2 linked regions of the Anolis sagrei genome follow. The protein of the gene in region 1 purifies or fractionates together with the protein of each later gene. This does not show direct contact. Links are inferred from orthologs where the notes say so. Each region holds a gene or a part of one and is shown in the gene's direction. Other genes may lie near its edges.

Region 1 (8,888 bases):
AGGAGGGAGCCAGCTTGTTTTCTGCTTCCTTGGAGACTAGGACGCAATGGAGCAATCAGGGCCGTAGCCAGAAAAAAATTTCGGGGAGGGTTGACAATTTGGGGGGGGGGGGGCGTTGAAAAATGGGGGGGGTTTGAAAATTTGGGGGGGGGGGTTGAAAATTTCGGGGAGGGTTGAAAATTTGGGGGGGGGGGGTTGAAGCCTGCCTCCTAGCTCACGCTGAAGCAAAGAGCACAGCAGGGGGCAGAGCAACCTTCCATAGCCTGCAGCTCCACCCCTGTCAACCACCTCCACCAAGTCTGGCCTCCTTAATGAGAGCATTCCACACACACACACCCAACTTGGTTGCTTCACTACGTCGGCTATTGCTGCAAGTATTGATATTGTTGATGTTTTTGATGATGATGTTTTTGGTTATTGCTAGATTGATATTTTAGATTGTGTCTTGAATTTTGAACCTTGTTCTTTCTATGTTGTACACCGCTGTGAGTCGCCCCCGGGCTGAGAACAGCAGTATATAAGCAAAGTAAATAAATAAATAAATAAATGACAGTGTGAATAAATTGTCAATATTTGCTTGAGATAGTGCTTACAGTTCTGGAGGGACTCTTAATTTTTTGCATCTCATAGACTTAGCATGGGATTTGGTTAACCAGTTAAAATTCATGATTAAACCAGGTTTTTTTAAAAAAAAATCTGAAACATTTCGGGCGGGGTTTGAACCCCTAAAACCACCCCCTTGCTACAGGCCTGGGAACAATGGCTTCAAACTACAAGAAAGGAGATTCCATCTGAACATGAGGAAGAACTTCCTGACTGTGAGAGCCGTTCAGCAGTGGAACTCTCTGCCCCGGAGTGTGGTGGAGGCTCCTTCTATAGAAGCTTTTAAGCAGAGGCTGGATGGCCATCTGTCAGGGGTGATTGGAATGCAATATTCCTGCTTCTTGGCAGAATGGGGTTGGACTGGATGGCCCATGAGGTCTCTTCCAACTCTTTGATTCTATGATTCTATGATTCTTCAATGTGGCATGCTTTCAAATATTGAAACATGCTTCTTGTATCGCCTCTTTTGCTTCTCTTTTCCAGGCAAAATTCTGCCTCTCATAAGGATTTATAGTTTCATCTAGATCAATGTTTCTCAAATTGGGGGTTGGGACCCCTGAGGGGGTTGTGGGGGTGGGGGTGGGGGGTGAGAGGGGTCGCCAAAGACCATAAGGAAAAAACAGTATTTTCCAATGGTCATGGGGGTTCTGTGTGGTAAGTTTCTATTATATCATTGGTGAGGTTCAGAATGCTCTTTGATTGGGTGAACTATATATCCCAGCAACTACATCTCCCAAATGGCAAGATCTATTTTGTCCAAACTCTACCAGTGTTCACATTTGGACATATTGAGTATATTAAGTTTGGTCCAAATCCATCATTGTTTGAGTCCTCAGTGCTCTCTGGATGTAAGTGAACTACAACTCCCAAAACTCAATGTCAATGCCCACCAAACTGTTCCAGTATTTTCTGTTGGACATGGGAGTTCTGTGTGCCAAGTTTGGTTCAGTTCAATCGTTGGTGGAGTTTAGAATGCTCTTTGATTGGGAGTAAACTATAATTCCCAGCAACTACAACTCCCAAATGACAAAATCAATCTCCCCCGCACACCACCAGTATTCAAATTGGGGCATATCGGGTATTTGTGCCAAATTTGGTCCAGTGAATGAAAATCCATCCTGCATATCAGATATTTACATTATGATTCATCACAGCAGCAAATTACAGTTTTGAAGTAGCAACGAAAATAATGTGATGATTGGGGGTCACCACCACATAAGGAACTGTAAAAAGGGGTCGCAGCATTGGGAAGGTTGAGAAACACTGTTGTAAAACTACAATTCCCAGAAGTCTATGGAATTTAAAGTGGTGCAAAACTGCATTCAGCCTTCAATGTAGATGTACCCCAAATATCTTTCAATGGCGGAGTCTCGAAAGGGAGCCAATTCTTGGCTCTTCAAAGAAGAAAAAGCAAAGATGGGGCTCTTTTCCTGACAGCATGGAAATGTCTAATTATTATCCTTCATATCACTTTGCCCTGCTTTGTGGGTTGCATTTCGTATTGGAAACCTGTCTCTATAGCAGCAACGGCATCGCATTATCCAAGGGAGATAGATGTGGAAGCAGTTAGTTGGAGGGAAGAGAAAAACCAAGACTAAGTGATTCATGCAGAAAGTGGCCATGCAAGGAAGCCAATGCGACCATGGCTCTTGGATATATTCCTGTGCAATGGAAGATGTAGTTTTGTTGTTGTTGACTACTTCAACCAGAGAAGTCAGCCATAGCAGAGCACCTGATGAACCAGCCTGGACACAGGATATTATTTGAGAACACAGAAATGCTGGACCACACCAACAACCACCATGTCAGACTACACAGAGAAGCCATTGAAATCCACAAGAAGCATGTGGACAATTTCAACAGAAAGGAAGAGACCATGGAAATGAACAAAATCTGGCTACCAGTATTAAAAACCTCTAAAATCACACCAGCAAAACAGCAGAGAGGAAACAACCAGGCACATCTTAACACCTCTCAACAAAAGGTTTTCCCAGGCTCAGGCAGGCCTTCAAATGCTAATGAAGGTGATCAGTTGAAACATTCACACCTAGCTCCAGCAGACAAAGAGTCCTTGGCCCCACCCTGGTCATTCCACAGATATATAAACTCATTTTCCTATTTCCAACAAACCTCACTACCTCTGAGGATGCTTGCCATAGATGCAGGCGAAACGTCAGGAGAAATGCCTCTAGAACATGGCCCTATAGCCCGGAAAAACCCACAAGAACCATTATTATTATTATTATTATTATTATTATTATTATTATCTGGTTTGTCATGCAATTATTATTATTATCTGGTTTGTCATGCAATTATTATTACTATTATTATTATCTAGTTTGTCATGCAATTATTATTATTATTATTATTATCTGGTTTGTCATGCAATTATTATTATTATTATTATCTGGTTTGTCATGCGATTATTATTATTATTATTATTATTATTACCTGGTTTGTCGTGCAATTATTATTATTATTATTATTACCTGGTTTGTCGTGCAATTATTATTATTATTATTATTATTATTATCTGGTTTGTCATGCGATTATGATTATTATTATTATTATTACCTGGTTTGTCGTGCAATTATTATTATTATTATTATTATTATTATTATCTGGTTTGTCATGCGATTATGATTATTATTATTATTATTACCTGGTTTGTCGTGCAATTATTATTATTATTATTATTATTATTATCTGGTTTGTCATGCGATTATTATTATTATTATTATTACCTGGTTTGTCGTGCAATTATTATTATTATTATTATTATTATTATTATCTGGTTTGTCATGCGATTATGATTATTATTATTATTATTACCTGGTTTGTCGTGCAATTATTATTATTATTATTATTATTATTATCTGGTTTGTCATGCGATTATGATTATTATTATTATTATTATCTGGTTTGTCGTGCAATTATTATTAGTATTATTATTATTATTATTATCTGGTTTGTCGTGCAATTATTATTATTATCTGGTTTGTCATGCAATTATTATTAGTATTATTATTATTATTATCTGGTTTGTCGTGCAATTTTTTAAATTATTACCTGGTTTGTCGTTCAATTATTATTATTATTATCTGGTTTGTCATGCAATTATTATTATTATTATTATTATTATCTGGTTTGTCATGTAATTATTATTATTATTATGATCTGGTTTGTCGTGCAATTATTATTATTATTATTATTATTATTATCTGGTTTGCTGTGCAATTATTATTACTATTATTATCTGGTTTGTCATGCAATTATTATTATTATTATCTGGTTTGTCGTGCAATTATTATTATTATTATTATTATCTGATTTGCCGTGCAGTTCTTATTATTATTATCTGGTTTGTTGTGCAATTATTATTATTACTATTATTATTATCTGGTTTGTCGTGCAATTATTATTATTACTATTATTATTATCTGGTTTGTCATGCAATTATTGTTATTATTATTATTATTATTATCTGGTTTGTCGTGCAATTATTATTATTACTATTATTATTATCTGGTTTGTCGTGCAATTATTATTATTACTATTATTATTATCTGGTTTGTCATGCAATTATTATTATTATTATTATTATCTGCTTTGTCATGCAATTATTATTATTATTATTATTATTACCTGCTTTGTCATGCAATTATTATTATTATTATCTGGTTTGTCTTGCAATCATTATTATTAAAATTATTACCTGGTTTGTCATGCAATTATTATTATTATTATTATTATTACCTGGTTTGTCATGCAATTATTATTATTAGTATTATTATTATTATCTGGTTTGTCTTGCAATCATTATTATTATAATTATTATCTGGTTTGTCGTGCAATTATTATTATTATTATTATTATTATTATTATCTGGTATGTCGTGCAATTATTATTATATTATTAATTGCACATCAGGGATGCTTTGAATGCAATTTCCCTGCTTCTTGGCACAATGGGGTTGGACTGGATGGCCCAGGAGGTCTCTTCCAACTCTATTATTCTATTATTTTATTAGACACATTCACATAGTATTATTATTATTATTATTATTATTATTATTATTATTTTACACACACACATTTATATATATATGTGTGTGTGTGTGTGTGTATACACACACACACACACACAGAGATATCTCTATATGCACACACACCCATACACACACACAAACACACACACACTCATATGTATATACACAAACAGAGACTAACAGTATTGCCAAGCCATTTGGTCCCATCTCCATCTGGAGGGTGGCGGGAAGCGAAGGGTTAACTGCAAAGTGGGCGTGGCTCCGCGCTACTCCTCTCCAGCCTCGCTCTCCGATTGGCCGGGGCTCTGACAGCGGGGCGTGGCCTCGCGCCTTTGCCGCAAGAAAAGGGACCAGACGCGTGTCGGCGGGGAGGGCGAACGTGTGAACGCGTGACGCCGGGGCCAGAGATGCGAGTCGACCGGGCGCCCAGCCCCGGATCCAGCTTTTGGCCTTTTTGCCTTGAGACATCCTCACCGAGACCCATTTGGTTTGATTTGAATGAGAGGATTGGGACGCCTTCCCAGCTGGAGAGAGAGCTGAGCCTGCAAACAGTAAGTGATGCCTTTGCAAAAAAATATTGGAATAATATGCAAATTGAGTGGGATTCCTGAAGGAAATGGGGAGGGAAGAGTGTGAGTGTGAGTGTGCAATTCAGGTGCAATGCACAGCATGGAGGGTGTGTGTGTGTGTGTGTGTGTGTGTGTGTGTGTGAGGGAGTGTGAAAGAGGCAGGCTGGCAGGGATGCTGCTCCTGGCCATCTTTGAAATATCTCTCTCTCTGTGTGTGTCTGCATGCACACACACACACACATTCACATATGCACACACAGACAGAGACACAAACACATTCACATATGCACTCACACAGATATGTATGTATGCACACACATATGCACACAAACCTATAGACACACATATACAGACACATACACACATTCATATATATATACACACACACAGAGAGACACACATACACAGAGAGAGAGAGAGAGATCTATATGTGCACACACACATGCGCAAATATGCACACACACACATATATACAGACACATACACACATTCATATATGCACACACACAAATATGTATGTATGCACACACACATATGCACAAATATGCACACACACACATATATGCAGACACATACACACATTCATACATATATATATATATATACATACATATATATATACATACATACATAGAGAGATCTATATGTGCGCGCACACATGTGCAAATATGCACACACACCCATAAACACACACATAAACACATACCCACAAATATATATACACACATAGACACATATGCACAAATATGCACACACACCCATACATACACATATATACAGACACATAAACACATTCATATATATATATATATATATACACACACACACACACATACATACACAGAGAGATCTATATGTGCACACACATGTGCAAATATGTACACACACCCATAGAGACACGTATATACAGTCACATACATTCATATATGCACACACAGATATGTATATATGCACACACATGTGCACAAATATACACCCACACACACACATATATACAGACACATGTGCACATTCATATATACACACACACATATTTATAGGTGCACACACACGTGCGCAAATATGCACATACACCCATAGACACACATATATATACAAACACATATACACATTCATATATATATATATATATATATATATATATATATATACACATTCACACACACACACATATATATATACAAACATACACATTCATATATATATATACACATACACACACACATATATATACACACACATACACATATGCACACACACACACACATATATATAGAAACATACAGACTCGCACACATATGCACACACAGATATCTGTATATACACACATTCATATATACACCTAGAGAGATATCTATGTATGCAAACACATATACACACATATATACACACATTAATATATACACACACATTATATATGCATACACACATTTATATATGGATGTATATATAGATATACACACACATATATATATCAATGCACACACACAAATATCTATATATATCAACAAAACACACACTTATATGTGCACATACACATATACACATACACATCTCTATGCATACAGACACACACATACACACATACAATATATATTTTTCACAAATTTACATATATATGTACTTGTCACATGCATATGACACTTTTAAAGTTGCTTCTTGTAATTTCAATATATATGTTTGAGTGCATGCACATAAATAGACACACGTTTATGCACACATACATGCATGTAGGTGCACACTCATTAGGCTTTTAAAGCTACTTCTTGCCATTTCAATATATACATGTACATGCATGTGAGACTTTTACATGCACACTATACATATATGCACACACCGATATATGCATACACATGTGAGACTTTTATTGCAGCTCCTTGCAATTTTTAATATATATTCACACACCCTGAAACATATATGCACCCAGACACGCATACATATATGCATACACATGTGAGATTTTTATTGCAGCTCCTTGCAATTTTTAATATATATGCACTTACACTGATATATGTATATGCACCCAGACACGCACACATACATGCATACACATGTGAGACTCCTTTCAATTTTTAATATATATGCACATACACTGATATATGTATATGCACCCAGGCACACATGTACCCAGACATGCACACACATATGCATTCATATGTGAGAATTTTATTGCTGCTCCTTGCAATTTTTAATATTTATTGCAGCTCCTTGCAATTTTTAATATATATATGCACACACTGTGATACATACATGCACCCAGACACGCATACACGGATATGTATGCATACACATGTGAGACTTTTATTGCAGCTCCTTGCAGTTTTTTTTATATATATATGCACACACTCTGATACAGATATGCACCCAGACATGCATACACATGTGAGACTTTTATTGCAGCTCCTTGCAATACATATATATACACACTTGTGCACACACATACACGCTATCATTTGAAGTTTGCCTCCCTTCGTATTGCATTTCCCATTTCCCCCTTTCTGCTTTGATTTTTCTATGCACATAATTCACACACACACACACACACACACCTTTGCAGACATGTGTGCTTCCATGCATTAGACAGACAGATCTGTGCACAAGTCGGAGCATCCTTCCATCCTAGGCTCTCCGTGGTGGGAACATGGTGAGGATATGATTTTTCTTTTCCGTGACTGGGGTGTTTTATTTGGGGAGGGGGCTGTTGTTGGGGATGATGTCATCAGTGGGGTGTCATCATCCAGGAGAGGTGACGCTGGCTGCATTGGGGTGATCGCTTGGATATGTATTGGTGGGGGGGGGGGGATGCACACACAACATGGCTGCAAATTATGTCATCTAGTTTTCGGAGAGGTTTCTGGCATCACTGACGGTTTGCCATTTCGTTGGGAAGCTGCAAGGAGAGACACCCCCCTTCTCCTCCTTTATAAGGGTTAGGTTCAGCAAAGATGTCCATATATGTCAGGCATATATCATGCTATATATATATATATATATATATATATATATATATATATGACATGACATGACTCCCATATGAGTGGGCACCCAACATCTCATCTCCGTCCCTATTATACCTCATCCAAAAAGAGATATGGTATCTTGCACATCAGGTCTGTGGCCGGGTCTCGTAAAGCATGAAACCTTATAATAAAATCCTATAGCCTCTCTATCTATCTATCTATCTATCTATCTATCTATCTATCTATCCATACATACATACATACATACATACACATGCACATAAATATATACATGGATCTATACATACATACATATATGAAACCTTACAATAAAATCCTATAGCCTCTCTATCTATCTATCTATCTATCTATCTATCTATCTATCTATCTATCCATCCATCCATACATACATACACATGCACATAAATATATACATGGATCTATACATACATACATATATGAAACCTTACAATAAAATCCTATAGCCTCTCTATCTATCTATCTATCTATCTATCTATCCATACATACATACATACACATGCACATAAATATATACATGGATCTATACATACATACATATATGAAACCTTACAATAAAATCCTATAGCCTCTCTATCTATCTATCTATCTATCTATCCATCTATCTATCCATCCATACATACATACGCATGCACATAAATATATACATGGATCTATATATACATACAT
Region 2 (8,667 bases), on another chromosome or scaffold:
AGATGTGTATCACCCATTACCCATGCCCTCCCCCCCATCTTCCCACTCCCTCCTGGAACAGTGATTTCAAATTATCTATATAAATAAAAGTGTTTGGGAAGGGAAAGGCAGGGGCTTGAGAAAAGTATCTGTGGGTCACCTTTCTTTCCCTCCCTCTCCCCAGCAGTTCTCTCTCAACTGTTGGTTTTTTCCCCCTTCGTGCGGGGGGGGGGGTGCAGGAAGGTGTCGTTTTAACGCGTGGTCTATATAGCCATTCAGGCTTGTGGGGGTTTAAGCACTTTCCGGTTTTTTTTTTGGTTGATTTTTTTTGAGGACATAGCAAGGACATAGATTGCTATGGTAGGTGTCTTGTGTGCAAATTTGGGGTCAATTCGTCCAGTGGTTTTCAAGTTCTGTTAATCCCACAAATGAATATTACATTTTTATTTATATAGATAAAGATGGAAGAAGCAGCAGAAATACACAGGAGGGATACAATTTTAACATGTAATTGTCTGGATTTTCCATATTCCCAAATCCTTGAAAAAAGGATCACAGAAGGATAGAGTTGGAAGAGATCACAAGGGCCATGTAGTCCAAGATAGAGCAATTATACATTAACTGTATCTACACATATCCTTACAATGATAAGAGAGTGCTATGTGGTTTGTTTCATATATGGAACGTTTGCTTCATTCACTTAATGGCTGAAAAATATATGTACAAGATTGTGTAGTGTTGCTTTTTTCGTGTCAGGAGCGACTTGAGAAACTGCAAGTCGCTTCTGGTGTAAGAGAATTGGCCATCTGCAAGGATATTGCCCAGGGGACACCCATTCTGTGGGAGGCTTCTCTCATGTCCCTGCATGAGAAGGTGGAGCTGACAGACGGGAGCTCACCCAGCTCTCTGGGTTCAAACCAACCGTTGCCCAGGGGACACCGGGATGTTTTCCCATCCTGTGGGACACTTCTCTCATGTCTCTGCATGGGAAGCTGAAGCTGACAAACAGAAGCTCACTCCGCTCCCTGGATTCGAACCACCAACCTGCTAGCACAAGGTTTTAACCCATTGCGCCACCGGGGGCTCCTGTAGTGCTGCTGACAGCAGTAAGGTTTTCAAATCATACAGCAGCCTTGGCTCTCACAGTTGAGAAACCTCTGAAGATATGGTTCATAGTTCAAAAATCTTACAAGTCATGGCCTGTGACTGAACTAGGCATGCCCTCACTTAGTAGGGCAAGTATGCCTAAGTGTTTCTTAAAGGAAGAAAGGGTGGAAGGAAGAAGGGAGAAAGAGGGAAGGAATGCGGGGAGGAAAGAGAAGGAAGGAATGAGATGCAGCATATCCAATTATAAGTGGCATGAAAAAATGCAGGGCTTATCAAGCAGGGTTCTGTGTGAGGTCACTGGTTCCTGCAAGAGACTATGACTGAAAAAACAAACATTTATATAAGCTATAAGTATAATAATTTTAATGCAAGGATTCTTTGGTTTATCTATGCTGTGGAGTAAATGCCATGCTCAGTGCTGTGGAACCCTAGAGAGGCACCCACACACTTTGGCACAGAAGGCTAAAGACCTTGCAGAATTACAACTCCCAAGACTCCACAGCACTGAGCCATGGCAATTAAAGTGATGTCAACCTGCATTAATTCTACAGTGTAGTTGCAGCCTCTGAGCCCAGAAAATTATTTCTGAGGTTCTTCTAGGTAAAAAAAAATGTTGAGAAATACTGTTTTAGTGCTTGTATGGAAGTTCAGCAGATGCTGGTTACATGACAAGCAAGACTTGCAGAAATCTTCTCTTCTGCATAAGCAATAATTGGTTTGGAATCTTTGCCCTTATTACACTTAGTTGCCTTAAAGCAGGTATGGGTAAACCCAGATCTGGGGGTTGGATTTGGCCCCTTGGGCTCTTTTCTCAGACTCTCCTCTCTCTCGGTATCCTGTCTTCCTTCTCTCTCTCTCCTTCCCTCCCTTCCATTTTGTCCTTCCTTCCTTCTCTTTCTTCCCTCCATTTCTTCCCTCTTTCTCCCTCCTTCCTTCCACCCTTTCTTCCTTCTCTTTTTCCTTTCTCCTCCTCTCCCTTTTCCTTCCTTCCATCCTTCCCCTCCTTCCTTCCATCACCAGGCTGCCAGTCCTCTTAGCAGGGAATGCTAGCATGTGGCCCTCAAGTCAGGTTTGCCCATGCCTACCCTAAGGACAATTGATCTCTGATATTATATTGGGACAGGGCTTTGTCATTTTGCCTGTTCAGATGTATTTTGTAGCTTCCATAATCCTGCCTCATCAGGTTATCTATGCTGCCCATCCCATATTAGGGCGTGGCTAACAGTGCCAATGGGAAACAGTCCGCTTTATGGATTCAACCTCTTGAAAATACCTATTTTTTTAAAAAATCCCAAAAGCAAACCTTGATTTTTTTACTATACACACACACACACACTTGAGTATAAGCCGACCCGAATATAAGCTGAGGTGTCTAATTTTATCACAAAAAATTGGGAAATAGTATGAACTCGAGTATAAACCGAGGGTGGGAAATCCAGCAGCTATGGGCCAATTTCAAAATAAAAAATAGATATAAATGAAATTAAATTAATGGAGGCATCAGGAGGTGAAATGTTTTTGAATTTTTACATAAAACTGTAATTTATGTCAAACTCTGATTAAACCATTACTCTAACCTTCTTCAGCGTAAATGTGCTTGTGTATCCTTCCAATAATAAAGAGAGCAAAATAATGGAAATGTAAGAATAACAGTAATAATAGAGTAACATAACAAATGTAATAACAGTAATAATAGTAATAATAATAATGGAGTAAAATAATAAATGTAATAAAATAATAATAATAGAGTAAATAAAATGTAATAAAATTATAATAGAGAAAAATAAATGTAATAATAATAGATTAAAATAATAAATGTAATAATGATAATAATAAAGTAAAATAATGTAAATGTAATAATAATAACAAATAGAATAAAAGATTAAATACAAATAATACTAATAACAGAGTAAAATAATAAATAACCTTGACTCAAGTATAAGTCAAGGGGGGGGGGTCAGCCTAAAAAGGGGGCTGAAAAACTAGGCTTATACTCGAGTATATACAGTATATCTACAACTACATCATTGTATACATCATTGCTTAAGCAGCTGAGAGGGAAAAGAAAGGGGCCTGAGGCTGTTAGGAATGGTGGGAGCTGATGTCCAAAACACCTGGAGGGAAGGCCCAAGTGTGCCCATAGATCTGCAGTGTACCATTAATGCAATTTGAGGCCACTTTAACTGCCATGATCCCCTGCTTTGGAATACAGGGAGTTGTAGTTTGGCGAGGCCCCAGATTTCATTAGCAGAGGCTTGTCAAAGTAGCATGGCGATTAAAGTGGTCCCTAATGGCAGGAACTCAACCCCAAAACTAGGGCCAAATAATGCGGTGTGGAACCATATAATGCAGTTCCAAACCGCATTATTAGGCAGCGAAAATCCAGCCTGGGAGGTGTTTAAAATCTCCCAGCGAGGGCGAGAAGGCGCCCCTGCAAGCGAGGAGGCTGCCCTGGCCCCTTCTTTCCTTCCTTCGGGGCGCCTTCCTGGCCCTCCTCCTTCCCTTGCGCCGGGTCTTCGGGGCTCCGTCTCCGCCAAGGCCCCATGGCTCCCATCCTCGGTAGAGAGGCCTTGGCGCCACCGCGGGCGAACGGGTGCCGGGCCTCGCCTTTTCCCCTTTCAGCAGCACTGTCAGAAAGAAACCCAGCGGCACACTCCCCTTCCTCTCGCTCCGGCCTTTGTATGATATCCATTTGACGGAGATGCTTGTCCGAAGCCACTTGGACCACACCGCGGAGACGGAAGAACACCACAGCGAGTCGGCACCGAGCACGGATGTGAGAGGCCTGCGGTCCCTTCTTTTCTTCCTTCTCCTCACCTTGAAGCGGGACTGCTCCGTCCCGTCCCCATGGCAACCCGCGAGAAGACCCACCAGGAAGGCAGGCAGGCAGGCAGGCAGGCAGGCGCGAGGGGTAGCCCCAGTACCGCGTGCGTGCGCGCGCGCGCTCCTGCTCGCAGGCTCCTCGGAATTTATAACAACAGGAACGAAGCAGCAGTCGCCAAGGCGACCAAGCTCCGCCTCCTTCGACCCATTCCCTTTCCCTCCCTTTCCTCAAGCGCGGATTCCCGCCTGGCAGCGGGCGGGGCCCTGACGGCATGATTGACAGGAACGAAGCACTAGTCGCCAAGGCGACCAAGCTCCGCCTCCTTCGACCCATTCCTTTCCCTCCCTTTCCTCAAGCGCGGATTCCCGCCTGGCAGCGGGCGGGGCCCTGACGGCATGATTGACAGGAACGAAGCACTAGTCGCCAAGGCGACCAAGCTCCGCCTCCTTCGACCCCTTCCTCTTTCCTCAAGCGCGGATTCCCGCCTGGCAGGGGCGGGGCCGTGGCGGCGTGATTGACAGTTGTCATAGTAACAGGCTCTCCCGGCCGCCATTTTGTCAGTTGGGCCTCTTTAAAAAAAGATTTTTTTTTTTACAATTTCCCCCCTCTTCCCGCCTAAATGAGCTAATTTCCGAGTGGGTTATATTAGAAATCCCCTCACGGAAGCTTTACTTTTTTAAATATATATATATTATTTTGAGGTAGTTGAGGTTTTATTTTTTTTGAAATCTGATTCTCGTCAGCGGAGGCCGAAAGGAGCAAGCGAGGCGGCTGCGCGCGCACTCCCGCCCGCCCGCGTGAGAGAGTGAGTGTGTGTGTGTGGCTGGAGCTTAGTTCCAGAGAAGCCGGCAGTGAGGAGGGAGGGGAAGGAGCGAGAGCGAAGGAGGGAGGGAGAGAGAGAGAGAGAGAGGGGAGGAGAGCCAGCCAGCCAGCGAGCGAGCGAGCGAGCGAGGAGTTTCCCGGGGGCTCGGTTCAAGCGCCGCGCTGTCCTCCTTCCTTCCTGCCTCTGCCTTCCTCGCTCGGCCCGGCCTCACCGCAGCCGTTGAAGCCTCCTCCTCCTCCGCCGCCGCCACTGCTACTCCGACGCTGGGTCCGGGCCCAGGCTGGCCGTTCGCTGCGCAGGTTTGGAACGCGCGCCATTTTGTGAGCGAGAGGAAAGACAGCCTTCCCGGCCAGGAAACGCCGCGGATCCGCCCGCCGGGCCGGGCCACCTCCCTTCTTGCCTGCCTGCCTACCTCCCTCCAAAAGGGAGGGAGGGAGGGAGGGGGTGCGTGGTTGGCTCCGCTCCGGGGCCACGAAGGCCCTGAAGAACAAGGAGGAGGAGGAGGAGGAAAAGACGACAGCGGGGACGCCGCTGAGGGCTGGGCCGAGCCGGACCTCCGCGGCTTGAGGCGGGGAATGAACTGAGGGCGCCTCCCGCCACTGCCGCCGCCGCCGGGAAAGGAGGCCTCGGTCGGGATTATTGCAGGCCCTGCGGACAGGAACCCGAGGAGGACGGGGAGGCGGCCACCGCCCCAGACCCGGGTAAGTGAGTGAGTGAACGAGTGAGTGAGTGGCGGGGCCTCCGCGGCGAAGAGAGGGAGGCTGAGGAGGGCCGCTGCCATCTTGAAGAGGAGGAGGAGGAGGCCGGCCTGGAGGAAAGCGGGAGGCAGCGGCGCCGGCTTCCTCCCTTCCTCCGATCAGGCAGGGAAACCGCGAAGGCGCCGGAGGAGGCCTGGCTGAGAGGGATCCATGGCGCGCACCTGGGCTACGAAGGAAGGCCCTGCTTTTATTTTTTGGGGTGGGGGGAGAAGTGGACAGGTGGGCCTCCCCCTCCTCTCTACTTTCCCGCCCTCCGCACCTGTTGTCGGGCTGTTTGGACGGTGTGGCAGCCCAGGCTGACGAGGAGAAGTGTTTCTGTCAGCCGAGGGCCGCTGCAGCACGTACCTGTCCTATCTACTGTGTCACTCAGAGGGAGAATGCACCTGAACGGGGGGAAATCAGGACTGGTTCTCAATTTATAATTAAAAAAAATCATTCCTAGACCACCCTTTCACCCCCCAAAGGACTCGATCTATAACTTAGGAGGGAATGATTTGGATTGGGATCGTTAATTGAAATTTATTCTTCTCTCTCAGTATAGGCTGAATGGCCATCGTCCTGGGGTGTTTTGATTGTGTGTTCCTGCATGGCAAGGGATGGACTGGATGGTCCTTGTGGTCTCTCCCAACTTTTTGATTCTTATGGGGAAAGAACTAGGGTTTTTTTTTTTTTTTTTACAATTATTTCTATATTATGAGTTCAAATTACAGGAAAGGAGATTCCGCCTCAACATTAGGAAGAACTTCCTAACTGGGAGAGCTGTTCAACAGTGAAACTTTCTGCCCTGGAATGAGGTGGAGGCTCCTTCTTGGGAGGCTTTTAAGCGGAGGCTGGATGGTCTTCTCTCAGGGGAGCTTTGATTGTGTGTTCCTGCATGGCAAGGGATGGACTGGATGGTAGTCTCTCCCAATTCTTTGATTCTTATGGGCAAAGAAGCAGGGGGGCTAAGGTAGTTATTTCTGAATTATGAGTTCTAATTACAGGAAAGGATATTCTGCTTAGACATTAGGAAGAACTTCATAAGTGTGAGAGCTGTTCAGCAGTGGAACCCTCTGGCCCAGAGTATGATGGAGGCACCTTCTTCGGAGTCTTTTAAACAGAGTCTGGATGACCATCCATCTGGGGTACTTTGATGGTGTGTTTTAGCATGGCAAGGGAGGACTGGATGGCCCTTGTAGTAATTTCCAACTCTTTGATCCTTATGGGCAAAGAAGTAGGGGTGTTTTGGTAGTAATTTCTGAATTATGAGTTCAAATTACAGGAAAGCAGATTCCGCATGAACATTTGGAAGAACTTTCTAACGGGGAGCTGTTCAGCAGTGGAACTCTCTACCCCGGAGTGTGGCGGAGGCTCCTTCTTCAGAGACTTTTGAACAGAGGCTGGATGGTTTTCTGTCTGGGGTGCTTTGATTGTGTATTCCTGCTTGGCAAAGGAGGGACTGGATGGGCCTTGTAGTCTCTTTAAACTCTTTGATCCTTATGGGCAAGGAAGTCGGGGTTTTTTGGTAGTAATTTCTGAATTATGAGTTCAAATTACAGGAAAGCAAATTCCGCCTGAACATTTGGAAGAACTTTCTAACGGAGAGCTGTTCAGCAGTGGAACTCTCTACCCTGGAGTGTGGCGGAGGCTCCTTCTTCGGAGACTTTTGAACAGAGGCTGGGTGGTTTTCTGTCTGGGGTGCTTTGATTGTGTATTCCTGCTTGGCAAAGGAGGGACTGGATGGGCCTTGTAGTCTCTTTAAACTCATTGATCCTTATGGGCAAAGAAGTAGGGGTTTTTTGGTAGTAATTTCTGAATTATGAGTTCAAATTACAGGAAAGGAGATTATGTCCTAAACATTAGGAAGGACTTCCTAACTGTGAGAGCTGTTCAGCAGTGGAACTCTGCTCTGGAGTGTGGTTGAGGCTCCTCCTTCGGAGGCTTTTGAACAGAGGCTTGATGGTCTTCTGTCAGGGGTGCTTTGATTGTGTGTTCCTGCATGGCAACGGATGAACTGGATGGTGGTCTCTCCCAACTCTTTGATTCTTATTGTGCAAAGAAGGAGCGGGGCTTTTGGTAGTTATTTCTGAATTATGAGTTCAAATTACAGGAAAGCCGATTCTGCCTGAACATTAGGAAGAACTTTGTAACTGTGAGAGCTGTTCAGGAGTGAAACTCTGCTCCTTAGTGTGGTGGAGGCTCCTTCTTTGGAGGCTTTTGAACAGAAGCTGGCTGGCCATCAGTCCAGGGTGCTTTGATTGTGTGTTCCTGCATGGCAAGGGATGGACTGGATGGCCCGTGTAGTCTCTTCTAACTCTTTGATTTTTATGGGAAAAGAAGTAGGGGCTTTTTTGTAGTAATTTCTGAATTATGAGTTCAAATTACAGGAAAGCAGATTTTGCCTGAACATTAGGAAGAACTTCCTAACTGTGAGGGCTGGTCAGCAGTGAAACACTCTACCCTTGAATGAGGTGGAGGCTCCTCCTTTGGAGGCTTTTGAACAGAGGCTGGATGGTCTTCTGTCAGGGGTGCTTTGATTGTGTGTTCCTGCATGGCAAGGGATGGACTGGATGGTGTTCTCTCCCAATTCTTTGATTCTTATTTGCAAAGAAGTAGGGGGGCTTTTGGTTGTTCTTTCTGAATTATGTGTTCAAATTACAGGAAAGGAGATTCTGCCTGAACATTAGGAAGAACTTCCTAACTGTGAGAACTGTTAAGCAGTGAAACACTCTGCTCCGGAGTGTGACGGAGGTTCCTTTGGAGGTTTTGAACAGAGTCTGGATGGCCATCCGTCCGGGGTGCTCTGATTGTGTGTTCCTGCATGGCAAGCAATGGATTGGACGGCCCTTTTAGTCCCTTCCAACTCTTTGATTCTTATGGGCAAAGAAGTGGGGGGGGGGGGGTTGGTAGTTTTTTCTGAATTATGAGTTTAAATTACAGAAAAGGAGATTCCACCTGAACATTAGGAAGAACTTCCTAACTGTGAGAGCTGTTCAGCAGTGAAACACTCTCCCCTGGAATGTGGTAGAGGCTTCTTCTCTAGAGGCTTGAACAGAGGCTGGATGGTTTTCTGTCCGGGGTGCTTTGATTGTGTGTTCTTGCATGGCAAGGGATGGACTGGATGGCCCTTGTAGTCCCATCCAACTTTTTGATTCTTATCGGCAAAGAAGTAGGGTTTTGTTAGGGTAGTTTTTTTC

What was found.
Region 2: the proteins of LZTS3 (region 1) and DYRK1A purify together in Homo sapiens (affinity purification with mass spectrometry; 3 studies listed by BioGRID and IntAct, with this or other methods). This does not show direct contact. The link is inferred for Anolis sagrei from reciprocal best matches to the Homo sapiens genes LZTS3 and DYRK1A.

The regions. Positions count from the first base shown.
Region 1 is NC_090025.1:7,953,936-7,962,823, forward strand, and holds the start of LZTS3 (leucine zipper putative tumor suppressor 3), read left to right. Parts: upstream 1-4,979; 5' UTR 4,980-5,202; intron 5,203-7,682; exon of another isoform or gene 7,683-7,864; intron 7,865-8,888. UniProt on the Homo sapiens protein: May be involved in promoting the maturation of dendritic spines, probably via regulating SIPA1L1 levels at the postsynaptic density of synapses.
Region 2 is NC_090023.1:71,921,790-71,930,456, forward strand, and holds the start of DYRK1A (dual specificity tyrosine-phosphorylation-regulated kinase 1A), read left to right. Parts: upstream 1-4,650; 5' UTR 4,651-5,434; intron 5,435-8,667. UniProt on the Homo sapiens protein: Dual-specificity kinase which possesses both serine/threonine and tyrosine kinase activities. Exhibits a substrate preference for proline at position P+1 and arginine at position P-3.